Styela clava: one gene and its partner. The protein of the gene in region 2 purifies or fractionates together with the protein of the main gene of each other region. This does not show direct contact. Links are inferred from orthologs where the notes say so. Each region holds a gene or a part of one and is shown on either strand. Other genes may lie near its edges.

Evidence for each region. The genes of interacting proteins can lie anywhere in the genome.
Region 1: the proteins of toll-interacting protein A-like (region 2) and cleavage stimulation factor subunit 1-like purify together in Homo sapiens (co-immunoprecipitation; 3 studies listed by BioGRID and IntAct, with this or other methods). This does not show direct contact. The link is inferred for Styela clava from reciprocal best matches to the Homo sapiens genes TOLLIP and CSTF1.

Annotation. Positions count from the first base shown.
Region 1 is NC_135254.1:18,916,625-18,923,639, reverse strand, and holds cleavage stimulation factor subunit 1-like, read right to left. Parts: upstream 2,055-7,015; 5' UTR 2,010-2,054; coding exon 717-2,009; 3' UTR 595-716; downstream 1-594. Other genes in the region: inosine triphosphate pyrophosphatase-like, read left to right, coding at 1-57. UniProt on the Homo sapiens protein: One of the multiple factors required for polyadenylation and 3'-end cleavage of mammalian pre-mRNAs. May be responsible for the interaction of CSTF with other factors to form a stable complex on the pre-mRNA.
Region 2 is NC_135250.1:1,381,075-1,389,110, reverse strand, and holds toll-interacting protein A-like, read right to left. Parts: upstream 3,081-8,036; 5' UTR 2,901-3,080; coding exon 1,986-2,900; 3' UTR 438-1,985; downstream 1-437. Other genes in the region: serine/threonine-protein phosphatase 4 regulatory subunit 1-like, read right to left, coding at 1-261. UniProt on the Homo sapiens protein: Component of the signaling pathway of IL-1 and Toll-like receptors. Inhibits cell activation by microbial products. Recruits IRAK1 to the IL-1 receptor complex. Inhibits IRAK1 phosphorylation and kinase activity.

The DNA.
Region 1 (7,015 bases), on a different chromosome or scaffold from region 2:
AGATCAAGAGCCCTCTGCAAGATGGCAGAATACTTCGAAAAAACAGATGATGGCTGATGAGTGAACCACAAAGCTGATAGAAAATGGTCCGGTTCAGACTTGGGGGATGCTTGGCACCTCCTCAGCATGGCAATTCAATATGTACACCTTATAAATTTGATGTGTCCTGTTAAATAAACTTTCCCCGAGTCAGTACTGATATTGTGGCTAATTTAGTTACGAAAAAGGGACAATCGTTTTAATCAATGTGTACTAAACGCTATTGTCAAGACAAGAGCACGAACTAGATAAATATAGGAATGCATAATACCCCAGCAGTGGTGGCAATTTAGTGAGAAGAAATATAGAAAAATTGGGACACAGCCACAGGTTTGGGCATAAAATGAGGATGATTTCAAAGGGTTTATTAGGTCGAATAAATTTCTTTCGTCAATTGATAATTCACTGCCATAAAAAGTGGAATGAGAATTAAGAATATCAAATAAGCTTTAAAAAAAACAACAGGGTCTGGTCTGTTGGAAAGCATAGATAGGCAAGGTTCTTTAAGACAGTAGGCAATCGAAAGCACAAGATTTTATTACTCTGTCTAATATACCATGCATCTTCAAACTGATGATCTCCATGAAGTAAATTTTAATTTTGCTCATGTTATGCTGCGCTGACCCTAAACTTTGTGGTCCAGAAACACATAGTAAAATGTGCTATCCAGCAGCAATTCAGTCCGTTCCTGTCGTTCTCTTATACCAGAACCGAGCTCTGTGATCCTCGCTGCACGTGATAAATCCAGGCGATGTTGGTGAATGGGCAAGACGATGAACAGGACCGTTGTGTCCGAGTGACAATAGGCGTTGTCTTTCACCAGTTCTGGTGTCCCAACAACATAGTGAAATTGTTTTTTCATCAGGAAACAATGCATAGTCTTCAGTATGATTAAACACTGCTTGTGCTTTGTGTAATTGTTTGCCACTAAGTTCTGCTCCTGTATAAGCAATGAGTGAGCGTCCTGTTGCAGTCTCCCAAAGACGGCATACACTGTCTTTACCACTTGTCAAAAGGTATTTGCTATTTCGTGAAAACTGTACAGAACAAATTTCTTCACCACTGTGGGCTTTAGGATATGTTGCAATACATCGATTACTGACACCATCCCATAACTTCACATCTCCGTCTTTACTCCCAGAAGCATAAATTCTACCATCATTATTGTAAGCCAACATGGTTAGTGGACCTCTATGTTGATCTGATGGGTTGCAACTCACATAACACTGAAAAGTGTTCAGATCATAAAGTCTCACAACTGGATGTTCTGTGCCAACCAGAAGGCATTCTCCACTGGGGTGCATGGAAACTGAGCGCACAGTTGCAACTTCTTGAATGGTTTTTGAAGCCTTTTTTGTAGAACTCTTTGAAAAGTCAAATACTTTAACTGTACAGTCACGGCCACCTGAAACTAATATTTGCTGGGTTGGGTGAAAATCTAATGTGGTCACTTCATCATTGTGATCATACAACGTACGAATAACAGGGTGGTCTAACATACCTGGTTGATCATTTTGCATTTGAGGAGTCCCTTCATGTATACTTTTGGCAACCATTCTCTCAACATCCAATACTTTTATTGACATATCCACCGATCCTGTCGCAATATATTGTCCATCTTTTGAAAAAGTCGCTGCTCGACATGGACCTTTGTGAGCAGTAACGTAACTTGTTTCATATACAATTGCTTCTGGAGACGTTATTTGAACATCTGTCTCAAATTCAAGATCTATTCCATGGCCAGGAGCAACCAGTTCTGCAGTAGATGGAAGTTTAAATTCTTTGTCATGTTCAAGCTGGGTAATTCCAGTCTCAAATACTTTGAGCAGTTTATCAGAAGGTGGACATGCTAGTGTTGGCTTCACTTGAGATGTTAAGCTTTTTGCGACAGCAATATATCCGTCATTCAGCAACTGGCTAATGATAGCCCTATACAAATGATCTCTCATTTTAACATTGTCCGGTTTCATTTTTAACGATTATCTGTTTTTATAAAATACTAGTAAATGCCAAAAAGAAAAGCTTAACTGTTAATACTTTAAAACATGGATGCTGACATCGTTCTAATGATCAGTGTTGACAAAATAGCCTACTATAGTTTTATATACATATATACCGTCTGACCGTATACTGGGTATACAGACTGATAGATCAACATTGAAATTTTAATACCATGTAAATACAAAACCAAATGCTGATGACATATTGCTGATATGCGATGGAAAGAGCAATGCATGGGGAACCCTACAAATGTATGAAGCTTCACCAAACCAAATGCTAATTGCCTTCATTTTCATTCATACCCACAGCTGCACAGATAAGCAAAACAAGGATCCACATTGTTCGGATTTGACTTCATAAGCAATAGTCTACTGATAAAGTGATATACATACAACAAAAATCTGACTATTGATGTGACGTTATGTACTAATACTGTTAATACAATGTAAACTGGATACTACACATTTTTTTGCAAAATTTAAATCAATTTATAAAAAATATGATAGTTTTTGGTTCAATCAAATAATTTATTTCCATTCAGTTGCATGAAGCCCAATTTTCTAGCTAATTTAGGTGATGCCATAAAATGTGTGAGTATACAATACAAAATGAAAATGACATATTATAAAATCCAGATACATTTACCCATTCTGCCATTCATCTCCATTAACGGTACCGGTACAGACCGCTGTGAAGCTAGTAGAATTTGATCTTTGTTTTATATATCTTCGTTTCCATAAGTATGGTGAAAAAATAGACTTGATTACTCAGAAGAAGAAACACGTACCGTAGACGGTTATGGCCATCGTGCATTTAATCAATCAGCTGACTTTGAAATATTTCCAATTTCGCAAATGAATGCGATCGTATTTCTACATTAGCTTGGCATTACAAACAGCTCATTTTTGAACCTGTAAACTCTATTTATTCGGTAATTCAAAGTCTTGCACACAGACTAGCTCTGTGCGTACTTATTGAGGCGAGTAGTATATGACAAGTTAGATACCGTATTTGACAAATCAGAAAATAAAACATTAGTGTAAAACAAACTGCCGTTGTGCTATCGATTAAGTTTCCAAACTGCACTTAAATTTATGTTGATGTTTCTTCCATATCTACAATCGAGAGCAATTCTGCCGTGTGGAATTTAGAAATCGCCTACGTTTTACTCCATCACCCTTCAATAAGCACAAAACTGTAATATAACTCTTCAATGAGCACGAAAACGAGACTTAACGCACCGCTGCGCACAATTAGAAGAAGGTTTGCTACTAGCTTCACAGTGGTCCGGTACAGTATATCCATTAATACAGTACAGTTACACACCACTGTGCAGCTAGCGGCAATTTCGGCCAGAATATTTTTACACATTGAATATAGTTCCCACGCGCATGTAGTATTCACTTATAGATACATATTAAAAAAAATTAAAATGGCTGAGAAAAAGATAATTTTACCACGGAAAGACATGACAAAGCATTAAACTAAAGAACTACAATGAATTTGACAATAAAATAGGGTCTAAAAAAAGAAATTGGGCAAATAACGCATTCCCAGGTATTCCGCAAAATACGGAGTTTCTAAGATTAGTACAAGTTCTAAACAATATTTATCAAAATCCTCCAATAGAAGCAGAATTACGATGAATGGTGGGATGTAAAATTTTATTATAGATGAGATATTATTACAACGGTACGATATCAGCACGTTATGACATGGCCATATGTGATACCAAACATAACGCATATTTTTCAATTTTATAAACAATCTAGAGTCTGGACTTAATCTATTCCAAAAGGGTTTTGTATTTTAACCAAATTTATCTAATTATGGAACGAATAACTTTCTTACTTTTTCACACATCAATACTGTACGTTTATTAAACTTGGAATAAGTTGCGGAAAGTCTAAATCACAAAAAATAAATTCACGCCATCTATTCAAAATTTAAAAAAAATCATCGACCCTGGATTGGGGATTTCTCGAAAACCGCCAATAAAGGAAGCACTACGACACATTCAATTTCATTATAGCAGAACAGTAGCTCCACGTTTTGACTTAGGCAAATATAATACTAAATATAGCGAATATTTCTCAATTTTATGAACAATGTATTCAATACAATGTATCTAACAATGTATGTAATTCGCAACATAATCCAAGTTTAATGAACATACAGTATTGATGTATGACAACGTGAAAAAGAATTTTGCTCAAATATTCAATAAATATAGTTTAATACGAAACCCCTGTGAAATATGTTTACATCTACATTGTTTATAAAATTGAGAATACACGCTATGTTTGGTATTGTATATGGCCAAGTTAAAACGTGCTGCTACTGTTCTGGAATAGTGAAATCGAATCTATAAGGTATCTGATTTTCTTCGAATGTGTCGTGTCGTATTGGCGGTTTTCGAGAAATCGCGACTACAAAAACGAAAATTTTTATTGTTGGTCAATCGAATAGCACGTTTTTTCCCTGTCTTTTATATCTAGTTATTGATATGCTATTGTTGATCAATTAAATTATTTCCAAATTGATCTGAACTAGCAGTAGGATAGGTTTGTTTGTAAAGGTTTCATCAATCATACTCTAGCACCAAAGGTAAATAAAAATGTTCACTCATCATTGCTCGGTTTGTTTTGTAAAATTTTTCTATTGATTTGACCCTCTTGTTTAAATCAGAAACGTTTCCCAAATCCATCTGCTAAACCTTATTGATAAGTATACCTATTATAAGTATTATTATTTTTGAAATGCAAGTTTGTAAAAATGCCAAACATTTGCATGAACAAGTCCATGAAATATTTTAAACATTTTCAGATTGTGACTAACCTATAAATAAAATTCCTGGTGTGTTACTTTTTTTCAATACTGTGTATCACTAAGTTACATTCAAATATTTTTCACATTCAGACAAATTATCATCACAATATAATTTTTGTCTTTGATTCACTGTATATATATATGGCCAATTTTTTTTCCAAGTACTTTGAATATTGTGCTAAATATAAGCATCCAAACCTCATTGAATTCGAATTTATTTATTTCCAGTTAAATATAAATTTCCATCTCATTATTCTGACCGCTTTAGATTGTTTTATTTAACGAATACAACACCGGACATCCCTCTTTTTTGTTTCTTTTTTCTTCCTTTAAAACACACTTGCATAACATTGCATTAACCAAAAAATCCCTTAATTTTGTTAAGAAATTTATTGTAAAAATTTTATCGTAATGGTTCAAGTTTTGTCACTAGTCATCTTTCAGTGTTAATCACATCAGCGTATATGGTGGGAGCTGACCTCAATGACCGTATGGCGCATGGTCGTATCGCTCTCTCCTGTCCATACCTAAACAATTTTATTTGCTGTTGCTATTTTATTGATGACTGTATTTTTTGGTTGACGAAATAATAAAACCTCTTTCTCTCTCTTGGCGTACAGTATAAATGTGTAAAAAGAAAAAATATATTTGATCAAGTATCCTGCAAATTAAGTGAAATACAAACTTTTTTTTAATTATGTCCACAGTGTTCATAAAATTGAAGAATATGCGCTATGTTTGGTATTATATATGGCTAAGTCAAAACGTGCTGCTAATGCTCTGCTATAATGAAATTGAATCTACAGTATAAGGTTCCTGATTTGTCCCATTATGTGGTAATGCTGCCTTTATAGGAGGTTTTCGAGAAATGAACGTCACGAAGAAAATTCGGTCATTTATAAACAACTCCTAAAAAAGTATGTAATTTTGTAATGCACTGTTACAGTCGATTTAGCTTGTTTACAAAATATTAACAAGATGAGAAGTGTAGTTATTGATTGATTTGGTATTGTAAAACTAATAAAAATATACACTTTCTTTCTAAAATGATTGGAAACATTTGTTTTTATGCGTGGGTATTTTCTGCGATTCTGTCAGCGCCAAATTTTTGTTTTGCTTATTGCTTCATAGAAGTGGTTCACCCCGGAGTGATGGTTTTATAAATTGGAAGTGTTCAGAAACATAAGAGCCGAGAGAAGAAGTTATTCGCAAAGTAGGCATAACTGCATAATAAACAGCAACGGAAACTTGTGAGATCATGCTGCAGTAAGCCAGAGAATAGCTACTGGTATATGAAGCAAGTAAATATAATTCTACCTTTCGCAGTTTCGTGCTCTCCAGTATCAGTGTCAATAAATTACCGGAACGGTGTAAAATATCTACCCAAACCTACCGGAACGGACCTGTAAATATCTTGTAAAGGTCATTTGATATACCCCTAGGCCATTTCCAGGTAAAACAGCGAACTTAGGGGGGACAGTAGAAAAAATAGTACTAGTATCACGGTGGCCTTTTCAATTCGTTTACTACTCCAGACCGCTGCAGTCCATAAAAAACAACACAAACGAATAAACATTCGCAAAAACAAAAATAACACAATAAATACCTGATACGACAATCAGATTGCAGAATTATAGGCGGGACCAAATTCGCCAAACTAAACCAACATGCAAATGAAAAAAAAAACACAAAAATAAAGATATATAGTTTTATTATTGATAATCATTTCAATATATTCTGTCTGCATCTCACTAGTTGACTTGCTGGGAACAAAATTTCGCATGTATGTGTAATCCGTTACTGAAAATGCCCTATTTCGTTAAAACCGACAGAGGCGAAAAACCTGAAATATTACAACTTTCAAACTACAATAGCATATTTAATCGATTAAGAGGGGCGAGATTATATTATTGAAAAATTTAATACTATATATGTGGTACATCGTAACTCGTAAAACCAAGTTCCCGTAAACGCGATTTCGTACCTAGTTATTTGGTAATAACATCTAAAGACGAATTCATTTTCACCACACCAACCGACCCATTGCCCCACCTTGCACAACTGTCTATATAAGGAAGCATATTATACATATTTAATCTAATGTTTTTTGTTTCATATTTGTCAAAAGGGGTGCATGCCGCACATT
Region 2 (8,036 bases):
ACGATTAAATATATTGTCACTAACAGCGAAACATCTCAATCTTGCTAACGGTGTCAGAAGCTCTTCAGGTGTAGTGACATCGAGTGGTGACGGAATTGAAGAATCGTTAAAAGCCATAATTCCGCTACCAATTGTGCTAAATGACATTTGACCGTGCTGGTCACCTTCATTATTGTCATCTTCCTGGTCGTCAAAGTTCTCGTCCATGTCCACCTCCATATCCTCGTTCGGAAGGTTTAGGACGATCCGTAAATCAGTCATTTTAGTTGATTTATATTGTCAAAATGAGCAAAATCTGGCACTTTTATCCAATTCAGAAATAATAAATTTTCTCTTTGCGAAGTACAGGCAGATTTTGATTTGCACAGAAATTTATTAATTCTTCGTCCTTTGTATAGAATTTAAAACTAGATTTTTCGATAAACTTTAATTTAAAGCTGAATTAAAATATTAACAATAAAATATTGATTATTAGACATAGTAGTATAAGAACAATGATTAAATGAAATAATAAACATAAACAACTAGATTTAGAACAATTTTACTTTGGTGCTAATCTATGAAGCATGAAATAGCAGCATTGGTTTCTCCCGGATAACAATCAGATATTCTAACAAGTCAGGCTTCATTAATTTACGGAAGTGGAGGAGACTGAAGGATACCAAATTAGACCAAAATACACGACAGCCGTAATTTTCAGCTTATAAATTGGATAGGTAATGTCGAACCTAAAAGATCTTGGGAAACAATGAACTAACATTGCTCAGTTAACAAAGTAGCAAAAGGAAAGGATTTGGATATTTATACCGGGTAATGGGAATACCATCTACGGCAGCATCTTGTCTGGTTACCAGTGATGTCCATAACAAATAGTAAAAAACTAAAAGTAAATGAAATGACAACAAATTTGGTTTTTCGACTTTAATATTTGATATATTAATTTATATATATATTGTTCGTCTTATTTCTATTAAACTTGTATCAAAGTTAGACTCTTATCACAGGTGTCGCTGCTCGATAACCAACTTTGGTTGTTCGCGTCACCTTTCAATATGAAATGTCATTTTCAACTTTTTTTAAGTGTATGTTCACTGTGAGTGCATTTTCATTTTGGTGAAAAATAAACTACTGACTGACAGAAGTTACTCTAACATAAGGAAATACCTCACAAACATAATTGATGCCTATTTAAAAGCATAATTTAAGAGAATATTTACGGTATGTACAAAAAACAACACTAGCATGAAAATATCTGAAATATTTCAATAGATGAACAAACACATTTTCTCCATAATATACAACTGGATATTTCATATTTAAAACAGTTGATAATACGAGTCAGAAATAGCCAGAATACTGATTTTCAAAATTGCTGTACTTTTCTCGTTGTGGGGTTGCAAGTATAATTACTATATTTATAAGCACTATTATGAAAAAAAAAGATATTTGAGCAAATAACTGTAAATTCGTAATAAATTGAAATTGGTATTGCAGAATGATTCAAATAGTATATATTTCACACATTACAGTGTCAAAGGTGAATTATGTCTGATATCGGATGTCAAATCTTTACAATGATAAATTTTTTAAACAAAATTATTTTTAATTCTTCCTAATTTTACAATTTTACTGTATCGACTATCTTCAATTAGGGATGTATTCAAATATTTGGATGGAATATTCTTGATGGGAATATCCTCTGTTTTTTTGTTGTTCTGAGTTTAATGGACTAGCAGTCAACCGTGTTTAGGATCATTATAATGGGTAGGGAACATTAAATACAAAAAAGAGGACAGTTTAAAAAAGACGCACTTTCACTTATGTAAATGAAATAGCAACAGAAGTTATGAAATGGAAGATTTTACCATCTTAGAAGAATATAGTTGATGCTGCTAGTTTCAGCTTCAATGACTACACGATAAGGATGAATTTTTTTCTGAAGTATATTACATCATGTTACATTCCTATTTTTTAAACCAAACTTATTATTGCATATTTAATAGAGAATTAATAGCTGCATCCTTATTTCCTCCACTTGCTTCTAGAACTGCTTTAATCACGCTATCCTCCACGTTCGGAAACATTTCTTTAACTTGTTTGAGATCTTGTTCTGTGATCGCGGGTTGCTGAATTTGTGTTTGCGGCTGACTTGGTGGATACATACCCCCGACTTGGACACCAGGTGGCACCATGTACCCACCTGCTGCCGCGGGCATCATCATAGGTACACCAGCAGGATTATAGACGTGTGGGAACATCATCGGCATTGGAGCGTTGTATATAATTGGTTGCTGAACTTTGGACCATGAAATTTGTAAATGTATCATTCCTTCCTTTTCGTCGCCAAGTTTTCCGCTTAACGGCCACCAATCATCTTCAGATTTCCCACTTTTTATCGCGTCCGAAATGTCAATTTTACCCCACGCTATTCTGTTATCAATAGAAAAGGCTCTTTCATCGTAAATTTCTATCTTGATATGTTTTAAATCCTGTGCCACCGTAGTTGAAATAGTTTTATTCCAATATGGAAGCTTTGCGCCATTTTGTGCTGTTGCAGTTTCATAAACTGCATGTCCCACAATAACACGGCAGTATGGATCCATTCTTGTAACACCATAATTCTTATTTAATTTTGCTTCAACTAAAGTTAAATTCAATCTGTTTGCAGTTCCTGCAACAGCAGTTTGTGTCAGCATTTGTTGCTGCTGTAACGCCATTTGCTGTGCCAGGGTTGCGTCGTTCCTTGATTGTCCTGTTGAAACAGCGGTTTTTATTCTCAAAAAATCAGATGAAAGTTGTCCCAGAAGGACTTTACCTCGTTTAGTGTCTGTCAACTTCATACCGCCATTTCCGTTTACTGTTGGAGCCTGTGCAGGCTGAGGTTGAACTGCCGAAGCCATAGAACCCTAAGTGATAACTCAAATCTACAAAAATTTCAAACGATTGAAAACGACAGGTCAACGGAAAACTGGAAAAAGAGAACTAGACCCACAAAGATCAGAGCCAGAGAGCGGAATAGAAAATACAATTTGATACGCTTTAAGGGTCGAAGGTCATAATATTATAGGATTTTCATATTTAGAATTTACACATATTTACCCGGGGAGCCGACAAGACCTAGTCGTATGGCGAACCAATGCCTCTCGTCAGGTTACCGATCCATGTCGAGTATATAAGGTTAGTTAGCCAGGTCTTTATTTCAGATGCTTGAACTTTATGGTGGAGGAAGCCGTAGCCGACCAAGGGTTGTTACGTGAACCACCCTACGGCGGCGAGAAGTCCAGCAATCTTTTCGCACCTAATCATCACTCACGGCCCACGGGGTTCAAACTTGCGAACCCACGCAGAGGTGCGGAGCGTATTTCTGACGCTCAGCATGATGCGCCACGCCGCCGAGCCGGGAGGAAATCTGACAAGATTGGCTAAACCAGCGTTTTTCAAACTGTATTCCAAGGAACACTAGTGTTCCGCGAGCGTCATCGAAGTGTTACGTCTAAAATGGTCGCCATGGCGATCTTTGGAACGTGAAGTTGTCGTCTAACTGGCCGTCACCTTTACTTACTGGGGTAGTGGCTTTTTCCGTCGGCCTAGCTTGTTGAATGTTCATTAACGAGTTTACAGCAATCCTTTTGATTTTTGCTATAGGCAAACGAGTAGAAAGAATAAAGGCAAAAAGTCAACACTTCTTCCCCATCTCTGCCTGGTTTTACTCTAGAATGCTGAAAAAAATTACTCATTTCGCTAAACTCTATTCAGTAGATGAACTGCAGTAAAATAAATGAATTGATCCATATACACAGCATTTAAATTAGGAAATAATAAAACATTTATAATAAATGCATTATGTAAAATATTCAAAACAATCCTGTTAATTTTCGCGGCGCATTGAGAACCCACTGGGAACGGCTACATTACACCGTTATTCATTATCAACTTTACCCTTTCTTTTTTTGGTGTTCCGCGAAGCGAGATAAAAAGTGTAAGTGTCCCGTTGACGAAAAAGTTTGGGAAACACTGGGCTAACCCATATGGCACACTACAGTCACTCGCACGGTTTCAGTCCATGTCGGCTGAGATTGTGTTAAGCTAGTTATTTGTTTTATGTATGTGTACTTGATGGTGGGGTAATCTATACACGACTGGTGGTTACATGAACCATCCACCTCACGACGGAGAAGAGTCCACAGAGCTGCCCAATTAACGCTCCGGCTTGTACTTGGCCGCGTAAATTTGTAAGCAGACTTCCAATATTATCATAATATATTTTAGTACTCTTATATATTTTCAATCATGTTTTGCAATTCTGGCATAATTGATTCGGTAAGCTATATTTCCCCCAGTTTTCCTTGTCTCATAGATAGATAGATTTATTTTGAAGACTCCATAATACACACAAAATATAAAAGGAGAATTCTGGAGAGCGAACAAAACCTTTGAAAAGTTTAAAACATGAGAAATATCATGTGCCCACCCACCAGCACACACGCAAAAAAATTACAATAAACACAAACCTTTTTAAACATGGCTTGGGCCAGAAATGAACAAACAAAAAATACGCGGATGTATTGAACCTTCGGGCAGTTTTACTTTTGGAGCACTCAACCTACAGTAATAATGATTTAGAGACAATCCAGTACGGAATATCTGTATAGGCCAAATTTAAATGTCTCGAAAAGATTGGTGAATCGGGTTCTTCTGTGGTTTTCGAATAGTTCAATTTAAAATGATCGAATCATATGCCTTAGTTAGATTGATTCTTGCTCCCCGGCGGGCGTGAACAATTAGTTTTTTTTGTCAATACGATTATTGTGAGGTCGTCGACATTAACGAATATTATAGGAATGAATTTGCATCTCAAATTAATTTCACTCCGATTCTTGTTTTTCGTGCTGGCTGCGGAATTTGTTGTATTTTTCCGTTTTATTCTTTTGTCGCATCTGTGATATCACGTCAAATGAAAACTTCCGTTAAAGTCGTAATTGTGTATACCAGTACAGTAAGTAGCTGGTCAGTGCCGCATTTTCCATTAAAATGATGATAAAATCGGCAATAACGGCATTTATACATATTTAAAATAATTCTACAAAATCTCAGAAAAATTACATGTAATACTTAATTACGTGTTTGATGTTTCGAGAAGTTGTTGAAATTTGTGCTTCATCAGCGCGCATTATGGTCAAATAAAAATTGAAACGATAGGCTCTGAAATAATTATTATAAAAATAATAATAGCAATAAACACCATAATACAAACCTTTCTATTGGACGTCTCTGTCTGTCAGCGGAAATGTGTGCAAAAATTCTCGCTTGCTCGTCTGTATAACCCAAGTGCCGCGTGTTATCCAACTATTTGGATCAGCGCAACGCAAGCGCCGCGTCCAGTGAAATGACCCCGGCCACGAGTTACCAGATACTCGAATAGTGAAATGCCATTCGAATATTTAATTGTTAGATTCGATATTGGGATATTTTCCCCATCCCAGGTCGTTGACGACTCGACGAGCAATTGTTGACTTAATTGATTTTATTTAAATAAACTTGCTTTTCATACGGTAAATCCTCACATAAACTAGAATTGCATTGGAGTTTAGTAAAAATGTTCATCGCCACATAGTGATTATCTTCATCTGAAAGTGGTTCGTAAAACAAAAAACGGTTAGGCAGGACTGCTCTAGCACATAAAAACAGGACGCAACTTACAAACCCACGCAGGATTACAAGCGTAATCCTAACGTTGTCGCCACCCGTTTTGCCGAAATTATGAAATCACCCAACTTCTGTCCACACTTTACATTATTAACTGCCTGATTTTAAAACCTCTCTAAAATCGCAATATGCTTATTTAAATCAATTAAACAGTTTTTACCGCAATAGCACGGAACGCAAAAAGCGCAATACACAATGATTTTTAACTATTAATTTATTTCCGAATGACACGAAAGTACACGTTTTAGTATAAAAAGGAATATTGATTATAAAATATAATCGGAATGGACCTCTGTGAAATTATCATAAAATCGAAATTTGAGCTTACAGAATAGAGGAAAATACGCACTTTGTAAAAACAAATGTTCCCACTGATATCTTGTTAGAAAGTCTATATATTGCTTAGTTTTGCGATGGTAATATATATATATAGCAGCCAATATATATATACTAAACACGCTAAAACGCTTAAAATAGTTCACAGTAAATCTCATACTTTTATAAGGTTTGTTTGAAAATAACTGAATCCCGTACAATGTCATGCGACGGCACGAGTCAACTATTGAATCTACTCTCGGAATCCTACTGCCTGAAAATCCGACCCGGAGAGTTACCTGATAAGCTCACGACAATTTGTTCAAATTCTTCCGCCATTTTGTTCAAATTCTTCCGCCATTTTGCTTTGTCAAATTTTGTTAATTAGGTAGGCTACAGGCCCCTAATTCCTATACGCTCGCTGCCCGAAAAAGCGCTGGAACAGAAGTTCACTCGTGCGTTTATGATCTTCATTGTAACAATGGTAAGTAAGACAATGCTAATTTTGATCTTTTGTTGAAGGTACCGATGACCGACTGTCAGTTTAGTTCGAACACAGGAATAATTAATTTCACTAGTAGGCATACATTTTTAAAGACCAGTGGAATCGGATATTACTTGGTGATTAACTTCGAGGGACGATATCCTGATATTTGTTTTGAGCAGGTTTGATTTTATTTATGTAGGGCAGAAACCCATATTATCTGTGATATGTCGGGCGAAATTGCAAATGTACCGGTAGGATTGGCGCGGCGGTGTGGCTCAACGGGCTAAGCGTTAGGAATACGCTCGCCACCGCACCTCTAATTACTCTGCGTGGGTTCGCAGGTTCGAATCCCATGCAGGGATGATTATGTGCGAGAGGATTGCTGGACTCCTCGTCGTCGTTGGGTGGTTCACGTAACCGCTGGTCGGTTACGGCTTCCTCCCCCACCAAGTCCATGCTTCCGAAAACAAACAATACAGTAAAATTAATCCCATACCCGACTTGGAATGGTGACCGGACGAGAGGCTGTGGTTCGCCATATGGATAAGCCGTCTTATCGGCTTTCCTCTCCCCCGGGATAAAGATGTAAATCCTCCTATCCTATTATACCAACCCGATGGCCTAGTAACTATAGTCATACTGTATTACAGATTTGTTTCGCGGACCCCAAAAAGTCCGCGGATCCCAGATTAGGAACCACTGCCCTAGTACCAATATTTGGTGTGCATGTCGCTGGCAATGCCTGGGTGCTCTGCATCGGATAACGAAATGCTTTCTAAGAATGCAAAACATTTTTTTGTCGAATTTCTCATACAGAGAATTGTAGTAGGCCTACCGGTAATGTGAATTTGGCTCTAATTTGTTTTCTTTGGCATTTCAAATCCAATACGCCTAGGTATGTATAGAGCAAGGTTTTTGAACCAGTGGCAAAAAATGTTGCTCATCTAGACTGGCGAGCAGCACCGGATTAACCATTAAACAATATAAGCAAGTGCTTAGGGCATCAAGAAAAAAGGAGCACCGCAGAAATTTTATAGCAAAATTTTATATAGTTTATCGGTGTTTATCAAAATATTACGAGTTCACCAGATGACTCAAACTTCAAAATGTTTGCTTATTTTTGGTCTTCAAATATCATATTAACTTTCTTTATTAGAAAATAAACACTGAAACTTATTTATTGGACACGAAATGGGCCTATGAGTCGTTTTCTTAAATTGTTGTTGTTTTTTCCGTCTAGTATTCTCCTTGTTGCTGCATTTTCGTTTTAAAAAAATTTCTTTTTTTTTTCAACAATTGGACCAATGAACTATTCACACTATGTGGCGGTTCCACCTCCGCATTTCAACGATCTAGTGGTCAGCGAAGTGGGGAGTTTTTTGATTCGTTGCTTATTAAATTTATAGTAAGTAAACTTGCGATATTTCGATCACTTTTGGGTTTTCTCCGACTTGCGGCCCGCGAGACCTCCTCAAAAGTTTTTGCGGTCCTTCAACCTAGCAACCTTGAACCACCCTGAGGTAGACTA